4 linked regions of the Caenorhabditis elegans genome follow. The protein of the gene in region 1 interacts with the protein of each later gene in a pairwise test. Each region holds a gene or a part of one and is shown in the gene's direction. Other genes may lie near its edges. The genes, in order: cul-3, ZC239.15, C17F4.8 and bath-41.

Region 1 (7,895 bases):
GTATTACGAAACGTATACGCGCAAAATATCTCATAGCGAAAACTACAGTAATTTTTTAAATTACTACTGTAGCGCTTGTGTCGATTTATGGGCTCGATTAAAATTGAGCAAAAAATTTAGAAAATACTATGCAGGCGCGGAGGAAAATAAAATATCGATATCACTATTCGGAAACAAATTCATTTCAAAAATCGAGCACGTAAATCGACACAAGCGCTACAGTAGCAATTTTTAAAAAAATTACTGTAGTTTTCGCTACGAGATATTTTGCGCGTCAAATTTGCTGCGCAATACGCATTCTCAGAATTTTGCGTTACCGTAATATACACGGTGAAGAACACGAGCCACCAGGAGTACGGTAGCCCTGACTTTAATTGCAAAAAAAGAGAAAACAGTGAAAAAAATCTGTATATAATTGCTATTATTTTTAAATTTCGCAAAAAAAATTAGAAATGACCACATTAATTTTGAATTCCTGCGCGAATGAATTCTATTTTTTGCGTATTCCTGCAATATTTATTGGATTTTCTCTTAGCCTAAAGCCTAAAACGCAGAAATTTCGAAATAATAAATTGACCATTTTTGAATTATTGGTGCAAAATTGAGAAAAATTGTGAAAAATTATACCATTTTTTGAACAATTACGCTCAGCTTACTAATTGTAAGATTACTCAGATTTATGGCAAAACACGATTTTTACGCCTTCAAAAAATCCTAGCTTTTGGCAAAACTTACAGGAAATTAAAAAATTCAGAATAAAAAGTAATAAGATCCAGGAAGCCATGACTCGAATCATTGTAGTTGAACTGTATGAATGATTTGATCCCAGCTTCTTCCGCCACCCTAAACACCCCATAATTTCCGTTTTCCGCTTGAATAGGAAATGTTGTATATTTCTGTACTCCTTCCTGAAGTATTAAAACTCGTTTTCGTTTATTAAACTGTTTCTTTTTTCAGATCACTCAACTTCCTCTTCTCAACGTCAACTTCGACTCGGCTAATTATAATTTTATTTATTTTTCTGATTTTTTTAAAATTCTTGTTTTTTCTCAAATTTCCAATTTCAACATCATCTTATTTTCAAATAAAAATATTTATTTTGCGACTTTCTATTAATTTGAAACAGCGAATATTGTTAATTTATTAAGTAAATTTAATCATTTTAGATCGTTTTCAACCGATTTTCGAGGGCTTTCCACAAATTTTGTACTTTTAAATAAATTTAAAGTTTATTCTACCGAAAACACTATTTATTTTTCCACGTGGACACCGCCAATTTTCTCTGAAAATTCTAAAATTCTGGTTGAAAATTAATTTTTAAAGCTTCCTCACGAGAAAAGCGCCAACGCACGAGGAGCGCGCCAGCAAACCCGCATTGACGCAGTCTCGGTGCACTTCTGAACTCCAAAACACACTGTTCCCGTTCGATTTTTCTCGCATTTTTCATAGTTTTTTTCGAAATTGAAGCTTTTAAAGGTGTTTTAGACTTGATTCGAAGTGAAATATTGATTGATTGAGCCGGAAAATAGGCAAAAAGTTCTGGAAAAACGCGCGAAATTAAAATTCCAGTGACTTTCGAGATAATGATATTGATTTTTCCGAGTAATTAAGTTGATATCCAGCTATTTATTTTTGCGTGACATTCTAATTACCGGATTTTCAAAGTTTTTTCGAAAAAAAAACAAAGCAAAATCGATTTATTTCGAATTACTCGCGACTTCTCAACTTTGAAGCTGAAAATAGTTAGTTTTGTTTTTTCTGTTATCAGTGCGCGCTTTTTCTGCAATAATAACATTCCGCAGTACGATTTTTTCAAATTTTTTGCTTTTCGAGAACGGAAAATCAAGTTTATTTCAGTGTGCACGAAAAACGAGCGAGATTCTGACTTGACCAGTTCGTTCGGAATCGACTCATTTTTGGAGATGAGCGGACGCTCCGGTAATGGTGGACAACAAAAAATGAGAATTCGCCCATTTATGGTAGGTTTACACACACAGATTTTAGTCCTCTATCAAGCCTGTCTCCTTGTTTTGCGTGAAAAATCGATTTTTTTAAAACGAAACTTGGAATGTTACGGCCGAATTATCCGCGATATCCGAACAATCCGTCAATTTCTGATGAGAAACTGATATTTTTCCACTGGCAACTGTATGCCACGTGGCAATCATTTTCAGTTTGCGTGCCACGTGCCAAAACTCGTCATTTCTAAAGAACAAAAGCAAAATATTTTTTTTTCATATAACAAAATCGATTCTGAGGGATTTCTAATGGTCAATAATTGTTTTTGACCGTTTAACCAGGAAAAAACGAAGAGAAAAACTGTAAAATCGTATTTCCGCCGTTTTTTATCGATTTTCTATTTTTTTTCCTATTTGCTTGGACTAGCCATTAGAAACATGAAATTTGTTATAAACGGCAATGTTCTCGCAAAAATGACCTCACATAAGAGTTTTTCGCGTTTTTTTCACGAAAAAAAAACGCATTTTTGATCGAAATTTACCGAATTTCATCCCAAAAAAGTTCCAAAATTTTTGCCAAATTTTGCTAAAATCTGATATTTCGTAAACTTTTCTAGCTGGAAAATCCCTGAGTTTAGCAAATTTTGGCGCTTTTCCGAAAATTTTGAATTCTTATAATGAAATTTTGGAAATTTTTTAATAGTCGGGCCAGTTTTTGGTCATTTAAGGAAAATGCCCAAAATTTAGAAAAGCCGCAAAAAAAAAACGGAGAAAAATGATTTTTTTTCAGGCCACAATAGACGAGCAATATGTGACACAGACATGGGAACTTTTGAAGCGTGCCATACAGGAAATCCAACGCAAAAACAATTCGGGCTTGAGTTTCGAGGAGCTCTACCGCAACGCATATACAATGGTGCTCCACAAGCACGGAGAACGTCTCTATAATGGCCTGAAAGACGTGATTCAGGATCATATGGCGTCGGTTCGAATTCGAATTATCGAATCAATGAATTCTGGAAGCTTCCTGGAGACTGTCGCCGAATCGTGGGCTGATCACACTGTCGCCATGGTCATGATTCGTGATATTCTGATGTATATGGATCGGATCTACGTGGCACAGAATAATCACGTCCTGCCGGTCTATAATCTGGGTCTCGACGCGTATCGGACGGAAATTCTGCGGCAAAACGGGATTGGCGACCGAATTCGCGATGCTCTTCTGGAGCTTATCAAATTGGATCGAAAATCGAATCAAATCAATTGGCACGGAATAAAAAACGCGTGTGATATGCTCATCTCGCTAGGAATCGATAGCCGGACGGTTTATGAGGACGAATTTGAGAGGCCACTTCTGAAGGAGACTAGTGATTACTATCGGGATGTGTGCAAGAATTGGCTTTCTGGCGACAATGACGCGTGCTTCTATCTGGCACAGGTGGAGATTGCGATGCACGACGAGGCGAGCCGAGCGTCGAGATATCTTGACAAAATGACAGAGGCCAAAATCCTGCAGGTGATGGATGATGTGATGGTTGCTGAGCATATTCAGACGATTGTCTACATGCAGAATGGTGGTGTGAAGTTTATGTTGGAGCACAAGAAGATTGAGGATTTGACTCGCATTTTCCGTATTTTCAAACGTATCGGAGATTCGGTGACAGTACCGGGTGGTGGATTGAAGGCGCTGCTTAAGGCGGTTAGCGAGTGAGTTTTTCGCGCGATTTTTTTTTAGAAATTGAATTATTTGGTGATTACAGCCGTGGGAGGAACGTTGTAAAATTAAAATTTGAACAATTTTCACCACAAAAAGGCACTAGCATGGTTATCTGTCGATTTACGAAGCCTGTGTACTCTTCGAGGGGAAATTTTGTTTTTTTACCCCAGAAATTACGGGTTTTTGCTTTAATGCGGAGATTTCAATGATTTTATTTTGTAAAAAATTGAAAATTTCACCCAAAATGGCTCCATGTGTCGGTTTAACCAGCTTTTGTGCTCCTCGAAAATTTATGTATTTGATGGTTAAATCTAGACTTTACTTTGGCACTTTTTTTGAAGAGGATTTTACAGTGTTTAGCTAAAATGCTTAATCGTTCAAATTATTTCTAATTTTAATGGTAAAACACCACCAATGCAAGCATTTCAGCCAGAAACCGTAAAAAATAATCCACGTGGAGTACACGAGTCGCGTAAATCTACACATGGCCGTGTTAGTAGAGGTTTCGCGGCCACGTTTTCGCTTCAAGAAATTTAAATTCCAGCCAATTTACTGTATTTTTATTTATCAAACTCTACTTTTCTGACCTAAACCCGTGTCACTCGCCCGCAGCAATCTGTTTATTTGTTCTGTTGTCCATTACGTCGAACACCGCCGCTTCTCCTTAAAACGCCTCAGCTGTTGGTGGTTTTAGTTTTTAGATAACACCAACCCTAACAGTTGAACACGGAGCATTCAGAAAACTAGAGCAGAATTGGGGGTTGCTCAGCAAGAAAAGTTAACTTTTTTTTCCAGATATCTCAACGAAACCGGCTCGAACATTGTGAAAAATGAGGATCTGCTCAAAAACCCCGTCAATTTTGTCAACGAATTGCTCCAGCTCAAAGACTACTTCTCCAGTCTGCTCACCACTGCGTTTGCCGACGATCGTGACTTTAAGAATCGCTTCCAGCATGATTTCGAGACGTTCCTCAACTCGAATCGCCAATCGCCGGAATTTGTGGCCCTCTACATGGACGATATGCTGCGAAGCGGTCTGAAATGTGTGTCGGACGCCGAAATGGACAATAAGCTCGACAATGTGATGATCTTGTTCCGCTATCTACAGGAGAAGGATGTATTCGAGAAGTATTTCAAGCAATACCTCGCCAAACGTCTCTTGCTCGACAAATCGTGCTCCGACGATGTGGAGAAGGCTCTGCTGGCAAAGCTGAAGACAGAGTGTGGTTGCCAGTTTACTCAGAAGCTTGAGAATATGTTCAGAGACAAGGAGCTTTGGCTGACACTGGCCACAAGCTTCAGAGACTGGCGAGAGGCTCAGCCGACCAAAATGAGCATTGACATATCGCTTAGAGTTTTGACGGCGGGCGTTTGGCCGACGGTTCAGTGTAATCCGGTTGTGTTGCCGCAAGAGTTGTCGGTTGCCTATGAGGTAATTCGAATTTTCAATTGGTTTTGCAATTTTTGAGCTTGATGTTTCACAAAACCCGCAAAAATGTCTGCTTACACGCAGGGTTGTCGTTTTTTGCCAAAAGATGGATTTTTTATACAGAAAAATGTGCATTTTAGAGACAATATATATTTTTTTCGGTTTTTCCAATCAAAAAACAACAAGTATGTTTTTTTTTCAAAATTTAATTTCCAGTCGCGATGAGATGAATTCAAAAAAAAAACGTTTCTTCTAGTTTTTCTGACCAAATACCTAGAAATCCATTTTTCTGCCAGAAAAGCCAAAAAAGATTCCGAATATCTATTATTTTTGCTTGAAATCGCTTTTCACACGCGCACCAGAGACATTCTCATTGGACCGCCACACTTGTGTCGATTTACGAGATTTCTCATGAAATTTTCAGGCCAATTTCAATTTTTCAATAAGTATGTTTCATTTTTGTGGAAAAACTGAAATCTCCGTAAATCGACACAACACGGTGCGCTCCAATGAGAATATCTCTGGCGCGAGTTTAAAAATATTATTGGGTGCGATTAAACGTGCTTTCAAGCTAAAATATAAAACCAGGGCAATTTTTAAAAAAATATTTTTTCACAAAGATTTTTGGAATTTCTTCAATTTCCCCTCGTTTTTCAGATGTTCACACAATACTACACTGAAAAGCACACTGGCCGTAAGCTGACAATCAACACACTTCTCGGAAACGCTGACGTCAAAGCCACATTCTATCCACCACCAAAAGCATCCATGTCAAACGAGGAAAATGGTCCTGGACCGTCGAGCAGTGGAGAGTCGATGAAAGAACGAAAACCGGAGCACAAGATTCTCCAGGTCAATACGCATCAGATGATCATTCTCCTTCAGTTCAACCATCACAATCGGATCTCATGTCAGCAGCTGATGGATGAGCTTAAGATTCCCGAGCGAGAGTTGAAGAGGAATTTGCAGTCGCTGGCTCTCGGAAAAGCGTCGCAGCGGATTTTGGTCAGAAAGAATAAGGGAAAAGATGCGATAGGTATGAAAAGGAAATTATAGTTTTTCGAATTTTTTTGAAAAAAATTGATAATTTGAAAAAAAAATCAATTTCCAATCGCTGCAGCCAACTTTCCCATGGGACATGGGAAAGTTGGCAAAGTTGGGTTTTTTTTGCTAACTAGGGAATGGTGTTACCCCTGCAATCGCTAGGAGGACAAACAAAGTGAAAATGGAAGATCAGATCTATGGCTACAAGAATCAGTTTTTGGAATCTGCTTAACTCGGTCCCAAAGCTGAAATTTTCGGTCTTAAAAAGTAGTCCTTTTTTTGCTCAAAATGCCGTTTTTCGTGTGTAGAAGTGGCTACATAAAAGTTTGGCACTGCAGCCGCCGTTCGAATGGCCGATTGGTGAACTCTTGTGCTCATTAATCTAAAGGTCACGGGTTCGTTCCCCACTAGGTATTAATTTTTTTTTGAATTTTTCCTCTAGCATGAAATATGCACAAAAACACGGTTTCTTCCGTTTTTTGGTAACTTCGGAATAAATTTTTTGGTTCCTGGGAATCATAAAAGTAATTTGGAAACTTTTTGGAAGTTTTCTTTTTTTGATAAATTTTCACTTTTCTCCCACCTGATGTATGCACATTTTTTTCTTCAAAAATAATTTTTCAAAATTTTTTCAAAAAGTGTTTGGTTTGAAAGAGCAGCATTAGTTTGGATATTTCTACGATTTTGGAGGATCAAATGTCATTTTTAGGAGAAAACCACTGTTGTTTTCTCTAGACTTTTTCACGAAAAGGACCTACTTTCAAAGACTTCCAGCTCCGTTGACGAGTAAAATAAAAAAGAGTTGTCAACTGCAAAGTTATTTCAAAAGTACCAATGAACAAATTGTCAGTTGAAGTTACTCTGCTAAATTTTATGGGTAGAGAGATATAGCTAATCGAAGTGAAGCTTTAACTTACTTAATTACTAATGTCCATATCTCTCTACCCATAAAATTTAGCAGAGTAACTTCAACTGACAATTTGTTTATTGGTACTTTTAAAATAACTTTGCAGTTGACAACTCTTTTTTATTTTACTCGTCAACGGAGCTGGAAGTCTTTGAAAGTAGGTCCTTTTCGTGAAAAAGTCTAGAGAAAACAACAGTGGTTTTCTCCTAAAAATGACATTTGATCCTCCAAAATCGTAGAAATATCCAAACTAATGCTGCTCTTTCAAACCAAACACTTTTTGAAAAAATTTTGAAAAATTATTTTTGAAGAAAAAAATGTGCATACATCAGGTGGGAGAAAAGTGAAAATTTATCAAAAAAAGAAAACTTCCAAAAAGTTTCCAAATTACTTTTATGATTCCCAGGAACCAAAAAATTTATTCCGAAGTTACCAAAAAACGGAAGAAACCGTGTTTTTGTGCATATTTCATGCTAGAGGAAAAATTCAAAAAAAAATTAATACCTAGTGGGGAACGAACCCGTGACCTTTAGATTAATGAGCACAAGAGTTCACCAATCGGCCATTCGAACGGCGGCTGCAGTGCCAAACTTTTATGTAGCCACTTCTACACACGAAAAACGGCATTTTGAGCAAAAAAAGGACTACTTTTTAAGACCGAAAATTTCAGCTTTGGGACCGAGTTAAGCAGATTCCAAAAACTGATTCTTGTAGCCATAGATCTGATCTTCCATTTTCACTTTGTTTTGTCCTCCTAGCGATTGCAGGGGTAACACCATTCCCTAGTAAAATTTGCCTTTTTCACGTTTTTGAACTGTTTCATACGGAAATTTATGTTTT
Region 2 (3,745 bases), on another chromosome or scaffold:
GGGGGTCCTATAGAACTTTCCCACACTGTATGATTATAAAAACAAAAAAAAATGAAGTTATAACCCCAATTTTAAACTGTAGTGTTTTGAAAATTTTTGGCAATTGGAATCTTCGGAAACTGCTGGTTTCAAAAAATATGGGAAATTTTTCAATTTTTTGTGAAGCTGCCAAAAACTTCAATTGCCGAAAAATTTCGACTGAGGTATTGCATTTTTTATTGGAAATTTTGAAATTTCAGTTGTAACTGCAAAATTACACGTATCTTACATGAAAAATGAGAAAAAATATATTAGAATTCTTGCTGAAAACGAGAAAAAATGTCAAAAATATGTGTCATCCGTTTTTTCTTATAAAAATTCCTTCAGAAATTTTGCACAATTTGCAAAAGCGGAAATCGGAAAGTTTTCTATACATGTCTTGAAAAAAACTCCACCGCCACTATTTCCTAAAATTTGTTAAAAATATAAAAATGGCTGTTAATTGCAAATCGATAGACTTACTGATAACAAAACTTCATCTCACTTTCTTCATTTCTCTTCCCCACAATTTTTTTAAAAACTCTCCAAAAAATGTGCGAAATTATTAAACTAGACGTTGGTGGAACTATATTCAAAACTTCAAAAGATACATTAACGAAACTCGATAGCTTTTTTAAAACTATGTTTGAAAGTGATATTGCGGTATAATGTTGCTGACTATATTTCTCCAAAAACCTGAACATTTTCAGCCGAAACTCGAAAAATCCGGATGCATTTTTATTGATCGTTCCCCGAAACACTTCGAGTTAATTCTGAACTTAATGAGAGATGGGAATCTGTGGTTGCCCGAAACTGAGAAGGAATTGAGAGAGTTGTGTGCGGAAGCAAATTACTATCAGATGTTTGGACTGTACAATAAGTGCGGTGTGAAACTTAGCACTATAATAAACTTCCGAATGATTCAAAATCAAAAACCAATAACTAAAAATAATAGTTATACTCGTTTTTTTGTTTTTTCATTAATTTTTTTGGTATTTGTGTATTACATCCCTGCACTAAAAAGCTATTTTATTGTTGAAAAATCTAGTAAATGCTACCTATTTTAGTGGCTATTAAACGCAATTTTCATTGTATTATGCTATCATAGAAATGTGAACAGACCCGAACGTAAACCTATTATAGTATGGAAAAAAATCAATTGAAAACACTGATAACTTCAAATCGATCGACTCACTGATAACAAACCTTCATTTCACTTTCCTCTTTTTCTCCTCTACAATTTTTTTCAAAAACTCTCCAAAAATGAGTGAAATTATTAAACTAGACGTTGGCGGAACTATATTCAAAACTTCAAAAGATACATTAACAAAGTTCCATAGCTTTTTCAAAACTATGTTGGAATGCAAAACTGGGGTATGAAAATCGTTGTTTTTTTCCAAAAAAAAACGTGAAAATTTCCAGCCGAAAATTGAAAAAACCGGATGCATTTTCATAGATCGGTCCCCGAAACACTTTGAATTGATTCTGAATTTAATGAGAGATGGTGATCTGCCACTGCCAGAAGATGAAAGAGAGCTGAGAGAATTGATGGCAGAAGCTCAATTCTACTGGTTGGATGGTCTAGTCTTAATGTGCTGTGATAAACTTAATTCTACAAAAAAGGTCCAAATTGATCAAAGAGCAAACACTAAAAAATATGATTTATCATGGTTTTTTGTTTTTTCAATAATTTTTTTGGTTTTAGTGTTTGTGTATTACATGCCTGCACTAAAAGGCTATTTTATTGTTGAAAAAAGAAATAAATGTTATCTTTTTTAGTTGTTGGAAATTTTAATTTTTGTTAAAAAAAATCATTTTGAAATATGTACTGATCGATAATCTTATAACTGATAACAAAATTTTACTCCATCTTTCTCTTTTTCTCCCCTAGAAAACTCTTCGAAAATGAGTGAAACTGTGAAATTGGACGTTGGTGGAACTATATTCAAAACTTCAAGATCTACATTAACAAAGTTCAATGGATTTTTCAAAACTATGTTGGAGAGTGACATTGGGGTCCGATTTTTCCAAAAATTTCCCGATAAATTTTCAAATTTTCAGCTAAAAATTGACGAATCTGGGAGTATTTTTATTGATCGGTCTCCGAAAAATTTCGACTTGATACTGAACTTTATGCGAGACGGCGACGTGGTTCTACCCAATTGTGAATTGAAACTGAAGGAGCTGCTAGTAGAAGCTCAATTCTATTTGCTCGACGGACTCATTGAGTTGTGCAATTCAAAGATTGAGCTTGTTGAAGCTCCAAAGATAAAACTTCGATTTATTGAAAGCGATGAACAATTTCTTCAAATTCTTGCTGTTCAACAGAAGGTGAGTTTCGATAAAATAATGTAGTTTTTCAAATTCATAGGAATATCTCAGTCGGTAGTGGTAGCTGCTAGAAAGCTAGAGGTTGCGGTTTCAAGTTTAGACTCATCCCCTAGGTTCACCCAGTCTGTATTGGAGAGTGGAGCAATCCATGACTGTATTATCGGCCACAGTCCCTGGCTAGGACGTGGCTTAAACTATAGGCCAGTGCAAGCTGTAGTCCTAATAGTAAGGCCACACTGTATGGCGTTTGTCAATCATAAAATAATTAACCAGTTTCTTCAAAAAATTTCAGCTCTACATATAATTTTTACAGCCAATGCTCATAATTGAATTTTGCATGGTTGGGAATGATATGTCGATTCCCTATAACTTTAATCTTTACGAGTTCATGGAAAAGTATTCACATCAGTTCGATATTTATTTTCGTAAGTTTTTTGTACATTATCCTCATAAAATAGTCAATTCAGAGCGATTGAGTGAAGACGAACCTTCTCGCAAATGGAAAGCAAGGATAAAATGGAAACCTACTGAGAATGGATATTACAGTCAATTTCCACACAATCTTCGAATTAATCGAGGTGGACGGATAATACGGGATGCAACATTTTTGGAACGATTGGAAAAAATGATCGGGGAGTTTGATGAGTATTTGAAGAAGCAGAGGAATAGATAATTAACTTATTTTATGGATTTTTCGACAATATTTCTAATTTAGAAGCTTAAAAAATTATAATTTAGTAAGCTTGTTTTTTTATCTTTAAACACAAAACACATGGATAAGTTCAAAGTCTGATTGATAACAAACATTCTTATTTTTATTTTTTGAGTTTGGTTGCATCTGTGCCTCAAACCGTAACTATTTTAAAATATGAACAAGGTTGTTAAACTAGACATCGGCGGAACTATTTTTAAAACTTCAAGACCGACATTAATAAAATGTGATGGATTATTCAAAACTATGTTTGAATGTGAAAGGGTCTGATTACCGTAATCGATTAAGAGCGATTGAGTGAAGACGAACCTTCTCGAAAATGGAAAGCTAGGATAAAGTGGAAATCTACCGAGAATGGATATTATAGTCAATTTCCGCACAATCTTCGAATTAATCGAGGCGGACGGATAATTCGGGATGCAACTTTTTTGGAAAAATTAGAAAAAATGATTGGGGAGTTTGGTCAATATTTGTATTTGGAGAAGCAGAGAAAGAGATAATTAACTCATTTTGTGGATTTTTTGACAATATTTTCAATTCAGAAGTTTTTTTTTATTTCTTAACATTTTTGATTTTTTTGTAAAAAAAAAAACAAAATTTCGCAACACTGATAATTCAAAATCGATCGGCTCACTGATAACACAATTTCACTCCGTTTTTCTCTCTTTTTCCTCTCAAAAACTT
Region 3 (6,265 bases), on another chromosome or scaffold:
CATCAAAGACATTATTTGTATCGTTTTACACGCCGTTACTTTTTTTGATGATTCACACCCATATTATTTGATTTGGAGTGTATTTTTCATTGTAAGACATATTAAGATTTCACTAAATCAGACGAATTAACTACTGATTTTGATTTTTTCAGACCATATTTTATACCATGCACATTCTATTGTTCCTGTCCGCACTTCTTTACATTCCAATACTTATAAGTATTCGAAAACTTTCTCATCTAGCGTCATCACAGCTTAATAACCCCCAGAGGTACATTTTCTGGCAGACGATGATACTGTTTGTGTTCAAGTCTGTGAGTTTGGCAATTAAATGAACAAAATTTTGCAAATGTCTTTTTATTTTTTCAGATGTCCTTTTCAATGGTTGTACTTCAAATGCAGGATATTGAGGACATATTTCTGAATGTGATTTCAGAATCTATACTTGAATCGGCAACGATCCCCTTATTAATAGTAATTTCGTATCTAGGATGTAACAAACGGAATGTGACAGTTTTGCTGTCTTCATTTAAGCTGAAACAATTTCTAAGAACCATTTTAGGTTTAAAAAATACTGTTGTTGAACCCCAGCAATATGTTGCAAGCATTCATTCTACAGTTTAAATATATTACATGAACAGTTTCTGCATTTTTCTCCAATCTTTTTATTTCGGTTTTGCTCCCGTTTGGGTGGATGAAAACTGTCGAGGGCCGACGCAGAGACAGTAACAGTCTAAGAACGCTGTCCGTTCTCCGTTACATCATACACACAACTGCAGTCTGCACCAGTGCTGTGCGGCTCTCGGCTCTCGGCGCGAGCCGAGAGCCGACATTTTGGGGTTTTTTCGGCTCTCGGCGGGAGCCGGGAGCCGAAAAAAATTGAACTCGGCTCTCGCAGAGAGCCGAGAGCCGAAAATTTTTTTTTTCGTTTTTCGACGCGCGCCGATTTTTTTAGTCGACTTTTTAGATTTTTGTTTGGGGGTGTTCAGTGTGCCAGCGAAAGTCAATTAGTCATTGAAACTTAAACAAAATGTTGTTTTTATCTATCAATGTTCTATTAATGAACAAGGAATTTGTCAAAACTGATGCAGCTGGGACTGAATCCGACGTTATAAACTTGACGGAGGAACCAACAATGAATTTATGGACAATTTTTATTATTGGTTACATTTGTTTAAGTAATTTATTTTCTGTTGAGATACATTGGTGCTATTGTTCAAAAAAATTTGAGTTAAAGTTAACTTGAAAGAGTCTTCGAAAACCGATACCGAAAAATAAAACAGTCGGTACTCGGCTCTCGGCGTGAGCCGAGAGCCGACATTTTTGGGCTTTTTCGGCTCTCGGCTCCCGCCGAGAGCCGAAAAAAAATTTAGACTCGGCTCTCGGTGCGAGCCGAAAGCCGACTTTTTTCAAGAGCCGCACAGCACTGGTCTGCACAGTCATTACTATCATATTTTGGAAACAGGACACTCACACAGTCAGTCTCTATGCCTGTGTCTCTTACTAAATAATGCTCTTTTTATTGATTAGCAGAGACTATATCGGGACCGGACCACCACTCTTTCTCTTTATCCAGCCACACAGGTTGATTCATTTTTTGCATGCCTTTTTTTTTAGAAAATTAATTGTTTCATAGTTTCTTATTAGCATTTTAATTGTCAACATTGTTTTTTTGCAAACTTTTAAACAATACAATTAAACATAAAAGTTATACATATGTATATGTTAATAAATTTTATTCAATACATTTCTTCAGGAAGTGGAAAATGTGCTCAAAAGATAACATCGTCAAGTTAAACGTTGGTGGTACTGTTTTTCAAACTTCCAAGTCTACTCTCACCATGATCGACGGATTCTTTAAGATGATGCTCGAGAGTGACATTCCGGTTAGTTTGTACAACTGAGTTCTCCGAGCAAGGCAAACGGACACTGAATCCTAAGCCTAAGCCTAACCTCATAAAAAGTTACAAGAAGGTTTTTCCTTGCGCTTGGAGCGCAAAAGAAAAGAAAAAGAGCTATTTAGACTTAGGAACAAACCCAATTTGAATAAAACATTGGAAATCCCAATCCAACAAGCCTAAGGGCCCCAAAAACATACTAGGATGCCCAACTTGAATAAAATATAGGAAATCCTTATGACACACTTAAGCCTAAGAGCCCGAAAAAAAAAATGGGATGGCCAACTGGAATAAAATATTGGAAATCCTTATGACACACTTAAGCCTAAGAGCCCGAAAAAAAAAATGGGATGGCCAACTGGAATAAAATATTGGAAATCCTTATGACACACCGGCGGTATGGCGCGGCTTAAGCCTAAATAGCCACTTTTATCAAAATACATTTGAGCCCGACTCGAGTTTTACAATAACTTCTCAGTTAACTCGAAAGCACTCTGTGTATATTTTTCAGTAATCTAAATAAAGACTATAGATTACTAAGAAACTTGGAAATTTTGTAATATTTGAAGGGATGCGAGCAATCTCTACATATTTGCGATCAACCTTTGGAGATTATTTTTCTTAGTAAAGTTATAGAATGCCAATATTCAAATTCCTCTCCCATGGAAAGAAAAGTTCAAATTCTGTACCTGCGTATATTTTTTTATAACTCCGTTCTTCCCACAAGAAAGGCCTTCTTCCCATGAGATAGGAATTCAAGTATCGGCAGCATTCATAGGTACAGAATTTGAACCTTTCTTCACATGAGATAGGAATTTTATATCGATCAAATTAACCCTCAAGTAAAGTGAGACCTTTGATGAATATAATCACTCTGATGATGTATTTAATTCCGATGATTAATCCATTTTTCTTTCTCTCACATTTATGAACTAAAAATGATTACTAAATAAAGGCGTGATAGTCTAAGGTGTGATAACATATGATATTTCTTTTTAAATTTGAATATAGTTTTTTTTTAATTTTTGCTAAAGAACGAATAGTTTACAACCGCCTCGCTCAAATGTATTTTGATAAAAGTGGCTATTTAGGCTTAAGCCGCGCCATACCGCCGGTGTGTCATAAGGATTTCCAATATTTTATTCCAGTTGGGCATCCCATTTTTTTTTTCGGGCTCTTAGGCTTAAGTGTGTCATAAGTATTTCCTATATTTTATTCAAGTTGGGCATCCTAGTATGTTTTTGGGGCCCTTAGGCTTGTTGGATTGGGATTTCCAATGTTTTATTCAAATTGGGTTTGTTCCTAAGTCTAAATAGCTCTTTTTCTTTTCTTTTGCGCTCCAAGCGCAAGGAAAAACCTTCTTGTAACTTTTTATGAGGGTTTCATATATTTTATTAAAATCGGGGCGAAGCCCTGATTTTAAATCCATGTTGTTTTTTTTTGTCTTCCACTATCCCTGCAAATAGGAAAGAGAATGTGTCTTTCTGATAAAGTAAAAATCATCATAAAATTTTGAAAACTGAGAGCAGGAGGTAATATCTGGATATATTGGGTCGTAAATGTGTGTCTCTCTGTGGGTGGGGTGGCGATGTGTTGGCAGCCAACCCTTCAACGAACTGTATCTCCCGCCTGTATCTCCCTTCAAAGTGAGAATTGGGTTACAAAAATTTGAGAGAATATGAAAAAAATTGTGAGGATTTCTAACATACTAATTTTGAAACACCAGACCAAACCACTTTTTCTGGGCAAGAGGCAGAAAATTCATTTTTGGAAAAAATTTCAAACTGGCACAAAAATTTTTGCAAATTGTTGATAGATTCCATTTTTTGTCAATATTGTTCATTGAACACAAAAAATAAAACAAAGATTCATCGCAAAATGAGTGAAAAATCGCAAAAATTCGAAAAAGTCAGTGCTGAAAAACTCGATTTTTTGGCGGTCCTGAAAAAAATTTTCACTAAAATTTTTTTAAAACTTAGTTTTTCGGATTAAGCGTCAAATTCTGGGTCTACTGAAAAAAACAGAATCAAAATTGATTTAAGATTGAGTGAGTAATAAACGCTCAAAGTTGAATAATTACAAATCAAAAACGGCAGTAACTTTGTTCTCGGTCGATTATCTCGGTGATGTATGACTCGATTAAAAAAATTTTTTTTTTGACTCGCTTTAAAAATTTCTCAGCTTTCATTATTTTTTTTTAAAACCAAAATATCTCAAACGACCGCAAAGTTATGAGAAGGAAAAGTTAAGGTTTTTGGAAAAAAAAATGAAAACTGTTTTTTCTGCCTCGATTTTCAAAATGAAAAAATCACTTTTTTGGAATTTTTTTTACTTTTCTATAGAGCAAAAATATTTTTCTGCCAGATTTTCACCTCAAAACCAAAGATTTCTCAAAGACAACAGCGCACGAAGCGGTGGTTTAAAAAAAACGCGAAAAAAACACACCGAAAAGGGAGGGGGGAGGTCGGAAATGCAAATTTTGACTTTGAAGCTCTCTAAAAGAGCTCACAGTTGATGGATCTGGAAGATTTGTATGTTTTTAAACGCACCTCGTCGAGTACTATAAACTGCTAAAAAATCTCGTGAAAATCTCAAAAACGAATTTTCCTGCAAAAAAAAAGAGGCAAAAAATGAGAAAAAAAAAGTGATTTTTGGAGGATACTCGAAAATACTCTTTATATCTCGGCTCAAAGAGCTCCAATCTTTCTGAAATAAAGCATACAGAGGTGGGGCAAGCTTCTTGAAGAGACAGCAAAAAACCGCATCATAATCCATCCACCCACCGTCAAGTTACACGCGCGTTTCCATTTACCACGAAAAACAGGGAATAAAAAAATTTAGACGCCCGCACCCGGGCTCGAACTTTTTTCAGATTTACAAGCTTAATATCTCGGCTCCTGTAAATCGAAATTGGCTCAAAATTCACAAGAAACCTTATTCTGCTTCCCTCCTGCTGTCATTAAATTTTCGTGAGCTTAGGGAGAAAACTGACAAAACGCCAAACTTTCAATTTTTAAAAAATAGTTGAGGGGCATTTCGAAAACACTTTAAGCTCCATAACTCGGCGAGTTTTGATGGAATCAATTTGAAATTTTACACGAAAGCTTCTTAGTGGCCAATACGCCGCTAACGCTCCCCCACTGACGCCAATTCTAAGCCTAGGCCTAAGCAAAAACCTTGAAAATAAAATAAACAATTATTACAAGTTTCAGCTCCAGAAAGACGATTCCAACTGCATCTTCATCGACCGCTCTCCGAAACATTTCGACATAATCCTGAACTTTCTGAGAGATGGCGACGTGGATCTTCCTGAGCAAGAAAAAGAGATCAACGAAGTCAAGAGAGAAGCTCAGTTCTACCTGTTGGAGGAGTTGGTCGATCTGTGTCATAGAAAAATCAATACAAAAATTCGTGTACTAATAAGTGGCACTGAAAAAATAGAGTTCTATACAAAAAACGACAAGGTATGCTTAAATCTCGAAATTCAAAATAAAATAATTATTTTCAGCCACGATTGTTGATAAAGTATCCTGAAAAGAATCTAGATGAATCGCCCATTTTGGACATCGACTGGGGGAGTTTAATGGAAAAGTATAGAGATCAATTTCACATTGCTTTCGGTAAGTTTTCAAAGTTGACAATAATAATTTAAGAAAAACATTCAGCACCACAAAACAACTGTTCCTTGAGCGCAAATTGTCAATTCAAGTCAGTCAAGTCAAGTATCTTTCTGAGTATTGGGGATGTATCAAATGATTGTGAGCAATTTATTGATAATTTTTTAAAGAAACATTGTGGATTCTAATTAATTTTTTTAAATCCTAATTGTGCCAATCAATAAATCAATAAAGTTATTATGTTTTTCTTGTCTGAAAATTTGGAAATATATTTGAAAAACTTTCAGGATTCAACTACCAGAAGTGTACCTGAAAAATTACATTTTTCTGTGCAAAATCTAATTTTTTTCAGGAAAAAAACATTTAAAAATTATTTATGATAAAGCTTCACATTTTACATACTGAGATTACGAGAGTATTTTATATATGAGCTTTACATATTGTTCTTTGAATAAACGGGTGATAAAACTCGTTATGAGTCTGACACATTTTCGAAAACAAGAAAAAGCCCATAGTTACTTCCTTCATTACTCTCCGTTCAAATGCTTTCCCTCAGTTATCCGGATGTATATTCCAAAATTCTATATGTATTAGCTGGATTTTCAGTTCCAATTCACATTTTCGGAGGTTATTGTATCCTATTAAAAACTCCTAAAATTATGAAATCCGTTAAGTGGGCTCTGTTCAACCTTCACTTCTGGTCTTCCTTCTTAGACATTTCCATTAGCCTGCTCGCCCAGCCTTTCCTAT
Region 4 (4,268 bases), on another chromosome or scaffold:
GTCAGAATTTTTTATTGAACTTAAATTGTTTTTGTTTTTAAAGTCGTTCACCTTATTTTGAACCAGAAGCTTTCGTGCAGCATTCAAATTTGGTCTCATCATGTATTTCAAAAGTGCCATTGATCCGGGATAAATCAAATGTCTTCCAAATGCGTGAATCGCCCAACTCGCCAGACCGCGAGTAACAACGCCGGCTTCAGCGACTTCTGGTTTTAAATGCCATAAATCCGAATTGGGGCGAGCTACAAAATCGGGAATCACGTCTAGAAGTTCAAAGTCGTACTTCTTTAGTGCTGCATGACTGTTGTCATCCTTCTGAAACGTAATTAATACATAAACATAAAGATTTCAACTGATACCTTGTTTTTTTCGTTTTCCCAAATATCTAAAAATCTCGAGTTTGTTTCGTCAAAGAGCCGACCGAATGTTCTTGCTCCATAACCGATTAGTGTTAAATATCCGGCATATTTCAGAATTGTCAGCATTCCAGCTGGTGTGAGCCAGTCTCGACTGTACAAGTAACATAATATTACGGGGCCAAAAGCTAATGAACTGGCAATGTAGTAAATTCCTAAAAACAAGTTTGGAAAAGGTTATGCTTCATAAAATAATATAACCTGCAGAAAACGATATGACGGTGTTTCCGAGATTTTCCAGTGTTGGTTCCTGTCGATTGGGTTGTCCAAAAATTCCATAAAGCCGTGGTCCCGAAATTTGCGTCCAGAAGGACGGCATTTCGACTAGTTGCTACTGAAATATGTAAATAGGGAAAACACAATTAACAAAAGACAATATAAAATGTAATGGACATATATACCATTTTTCAGAATTTTGATACAAAAAAAAACATCAATTGAGAAAAACAATTATATTAAATCAAACATGTACAAATAAGTTATTCCGTAATAAAAACTTCAAGTAGAAACTTCAGTTTTTTCATCATCCGTTTCTTCCTTCTCAACTTTATCTTTGTCTTCGACTTCTGTGTTTTGTTTTCCTTCAGATTCGTTATCAGATCCTGATCCTGAGTCTGAATCCGAATCATCTGATGAGCTCTCGTCAGATTCATTATTCTTTTTTGTCAATTTTCTCTTCTTAGCAGCAGCTTTTTGCCTTAATCGCTTTGCTCTCTTCTTCGCGGTTTTTGATTCTTCTTCCTTTTCAAGTTTTTCTACTTTGTGACGGTAGGCATCGTCCAATTCTTCTTTTTTTGCTACCGCATCAATGTAGTCAAGTCGATTTTGTTCTTTTCGTCGGTTGTTTCTGAAATTTGGATATGAAAAGACAAATTAAAAGTATAACTTTTCTAACCTGTAAATATGAAATTCAGCACTTCCGGCAGCAGCTGAAGAACCAACGACATTTCTCACGAATTCCAAAGGTTCTTTTGGCGCTCTCAGTGTCTCCTTTTTAATTGGAATTGGAGCGGGCTTGTCCTGCAATTATAACAAATAAAATTATTATATTTTTAGCTAAATTAAACTTACAATATTTTGTTGCAATCTTGCCAGTCTCATCCGAATTAAATCGGTTGCGGAATTTGCTCGGCGCTCTTCTTCTGTGATTGGATCATCTCGTGGCATAATGAGATTTTCTAGAAATTATCAAAAAAGAAATTAGTGCAAAAAAACCGGGAAATTTTATGTTTTATCCGCGAAAAATCGAAAAGATTGGCACGCTAAACTACACGCGCTGCGTCATCTCGGAGCGTCGTACTGCAGTTTCAAAATCCAATTTTTTTGTTTTGGCTTTCTTAGAAGCTACTTCTAGATAGGAAGTTGCTTATTATCAGTTAAAATATAAAGTTTATCAAATAATTATATTTACTTTTCATTATTCTATAGTTTCAAAGTCAACTTCAATTCATCATCAGCTTACAGAATGGAAATCAATAACGGGGCTCAACCAGAAAATGCGGCTGTTTCGATTCCGTCACGGTAAGTTCTGACGACCTCTTTTTCTCCAAAATTTTTAATTTTCAGCTCACCGTCTGGGAAGTCCGAAAAACGAAAAAGTCCAAGCATTGTTTCCGGCTGCCGTACGGTTATGAATGAGAGAAGCTTTACCAATTATTGGTCCGTTGAGCGCTTCACGGTACAATTAGAGCTTCACAATCCAGCAGAATTCATGCTGGCACCGTAAGCAAATATAATATGTTTAAGATTAATCAGTTTTACATTTTTCAGTAAATTTGGAGATGGGGATTATGAGTTTGTCATGAAACTATTTCCGAATGGGAAAGACGAAGAAACCGCCGGATATCTTTCACTTTTTCTGCTCATAAATAGTACGTAGAGAACTTTAAGTGTTTCATTTTTCGTTATTAAATGTTATTTACGAAGATTCTTTCCAGAATGCCCTAATCCTCGTCTCCGTTTCCGTGTCAGCTTTACAGTCGAAACAGCAGACGGTCCAAGAAGTTGCCATCTCAATAAGAATCTTGTTACGATCAATCGTAGTGGTATCGTGACTGCAAGCAAGTTCTTTTCATTAGACATTCTCAGGGTAAGTCGGATTGTTTTTTTTTCAACTTCAATTTTTTATTTTAATGCAGAGTGCCATGAATGTCTACATTCCTAACGATATTCTGACAATTGGATGTGAGCTCACAATTTTCGGTGAATGTACGACACAGATCTCAAGCCTGTTCAAGCCATATCAAAGAACTCACAGCGCTTCTTCAACATCTCGATCCCTATCGTCTCCCAATACAAAATGTTTGAAGATCGACGAATCGTCTGCGCATGGTTAGTGATTTTAACAGCTTGGAAATTTTCATTGTTTAATCACTTTCAGATGCATTCACAGAGTTTCTATCCACCGGAGAATTTAGCGACTTCATTATAGTCGCTTCGTGTGGTCGTGAATTCCCAACTCATATGTGCATCCTGGCAGCACGTTCTGAATACTTCAAAGTTCTCCTGAGAAATCATTCAACCAAGGAGTTTATGTCCAAGCGTCTCCAGTTTGATGACATTTCTGCTCGCACTCTTGACGTCTTGCTTCGCCATATGTACGCGTCCGCTGCTGGTCGAGTTGTGAAGCTCGAAGAGGATCAACTAACCGAGGACCTTATATCTGCAATGGATAGGTTGGATATTTTTACATTAAAACATTCTAGTATTGTTTTTTATCAGACTAATGATAAATTCATTGCGTGATGAAGTGGCTCGGCTCATCGGTTCAAAAGTGACTGTCGATAATGTGCTCACTCGTATTAGTATGGCTGCAGAGCTAAGACTTGATGATACCTATGACGTGCTTCTGGATTTCTTCTCGAATCATAAACATGAGTGCATGAAGTTAACTGTAAGTTAATGAGAGAATGAAATTACGTCGAACAAGCAACCAATTTCAGGCATGGGACGAACTTGAATCTGCAAAACCACCATTGGCCATCAAAATACTTCGAGATGCTTTCTCAAATACTGATTCACCTTCGACCACATCAATGGACAGCCGAATCATTGACCGCATCACTCTAACTTAATTGAATCTTTGTAAATCTCATGTCAAATTGATTATGTGTTTGCTCTTCAATCATATCTATTCATCCTTCTGTTTGCTGGTATTTTACCTTTTTCATCAGTTGATCTCAAATTTTTGAAACAAAACGCTTGAATTCAAGAATTCAATTTCGGGTGTAATTTTTATTTGGTTTTATTGATTTGATTTGTTTTATAAACACAACAATTTGATTCTAAAATAAAATTTTTGAAGCCGCTTTCTTTTTGTATCCTCCTTGGACTTTCTCCACAAATATTGGTAGTAGCTTCAGATCTTCCAACGATAAATTAGTAAAGGATAACAACGAACTCGAATGCCTATGAATGTAGTCTTTATCATCATGATAATCATTTGGCATTGTTTTCATTTCATCAACTTGAAAGTGCCTTTTTATGGCAAATATCCTAAATAAGATAAATCAATTTTTATTTGAAATTCAAGTCAACCTGCTCTTTTTGGATCTGTCCACTGAAATAGTAATGGGTGGAATTGACATACACGTTGTCAGCCATTCCTCCACATTTTCAGCATTTTCAGAACAATTTTCTTCTTCAAGATCATAGAATGTGTTTAGCGCAGAACGAGAGAATATCAGCACTGGTTTGTGTTGAATCTGAAACTTTGTGTTATATTGAATTACTGATATTATGTGGACGCAAAAAATCTGTGGAGCGCGCTTCTACATACGTACATTTGAAAACGATCCGCCTCCCAGTCATGGGTCTCGTTAGGTATTTGGGCACAAAAACCATTTATTCAAA

Evidence for each region.
Region 2: the proteins of cul-3 (region 1) and ZC239.15 interact in a two-hybrid assay, tested with the Caenorhabditis elegans proteins (one large-scale study listed by BioGRID).
Region 3: the proteins of cul-3 (region 1) and C17F4.8 interact in a two-hybrid assay, tested with the Caenorhabditis elegans proteins (one large-scale study listed by BioGRID).
Region 4: the proteins of cul-3 (region 1) and bath-41 interact in a two-hybrid assay, tested with the Caenorhabditis elegans proteins (one large-scale study listed by BioGRID).

Annotation. Positions count from the first base shown.
Region 1 is NC_003283.11:175,722-183,616, forward strand, and holds the start of cul-3 (Cullin-3), read left to right. Parts: upstream 1-1,857; 5' UTR 1,858-1,922; coding exon 1,923-1,979; intron 1,980-2,748; coding exon 2,749-3,665; intron 3,666-4,470; coding exon 4,471-5,107; intron 5,108-5,761; coding exon 5,762-6,140; intron 6,141-7,895. UniProt on the Caenorhabditis elegans protein: Probable core component of multiple cullin-RING-based BCB (BTB-CUL3-BTB) E3 ubiquitin-protein ligase complexes which mediate the ubiquitination and subsequent proteasomal degradation of target proteins.
Region 2 is NC_003280.10:3,222,822-3,226,566, reverse strand, and holds ZC239.15 (BTB domain-containing protein), read left to right. Parts: upstream 1-1,835; 5' UTR 1,836-1,923; coding exon 1,924-2,034; intron 2,035-2,079; coding exon 2,080-2,349; intron 2,350-2,662; coding exon 2,663-2,774; intron 2,775-2,816; coding exon 2,817-3,022; 3' UTR 3,023-3,234; downstream 3,235-3,745. Other genes in the region: ZC239.17 (Potassium channel tetramerization-type BTB domain-containing protein), read left to right, coding at 687-1,085; ZC239.16 (BTB domain-containing protein), read left to right, coding at 1,282-1,392, 1,441-1,797.
Region 3 is NC_003280.10:3,230,315-3,236,579, reverse strand, and holds C17F4.8 (BTB domain-containing protein), read left to right. Parts: upstream 1-1,754; 5' UTR 1,755-1,766; coding exon 1,767-1,886; intron 1,887-5,110; coding exon 5,111-5,362; intron 5,363-5,406; coding exon 5,407-5,518; intron 5,519-5,563; coding exon 5,564-5,703; 3' UTR 5,704-5,763; downstream 5,764-6,265. Other genes in the region: srz-67 (Serpentine Receptor, class Z), read left to right, coding at 1-91, 153-314, 370-624; srh-297 (Serpentine Receptor, class H), read left to right, coding at 6,058-6,265.
Region 4 is NC_003281.10:6,719,871-6,724,138, reverse strand, and holds bath-41 (BTB and MATH domain-containing protein 41), read left to right. Parts: upstream 1-1,880; 5' UTR 1,881-1,881; coding exon 1,882-1,937; intron 1,938-1,982; coding exon 1,983-2,138; intron 2,139-2,186; coding exon 2,187-2,287; intron 2,288-2,353; coding exon 2,354-2,505; intron 2,506-2,554; coding exon 2,555-2,747; intron 2,748-2,796; coding exon 2,797-3,091; intron 3,092-3,137; coding exon 3,138-3,309; intron 3,310-3,358; coding exon 3,359-3,490; 3' UTR 3,491-3,700; downstream 3,701-4,268. Other genes in the region: F37A4.1 (alpha/beta hydrolase), read right to left, coding at 52-315, 360-571, 618-735; F37A4.2 (PRKRIP1 family protein), read right to left, coding at 915-1,263, 1,312-1,436, 1,488-1,583; bus-22 (uncharacterized protein), read right to left, coding at 3,701-3,911, 3,954-4,120. UniProt on the Caenorhabditis elegans protein: Probable substrate-specific adapter of an E3 ubiquitin-protein ligase complex which mediates the ubiquitination and subsequent proteasomal degradation of target proteins.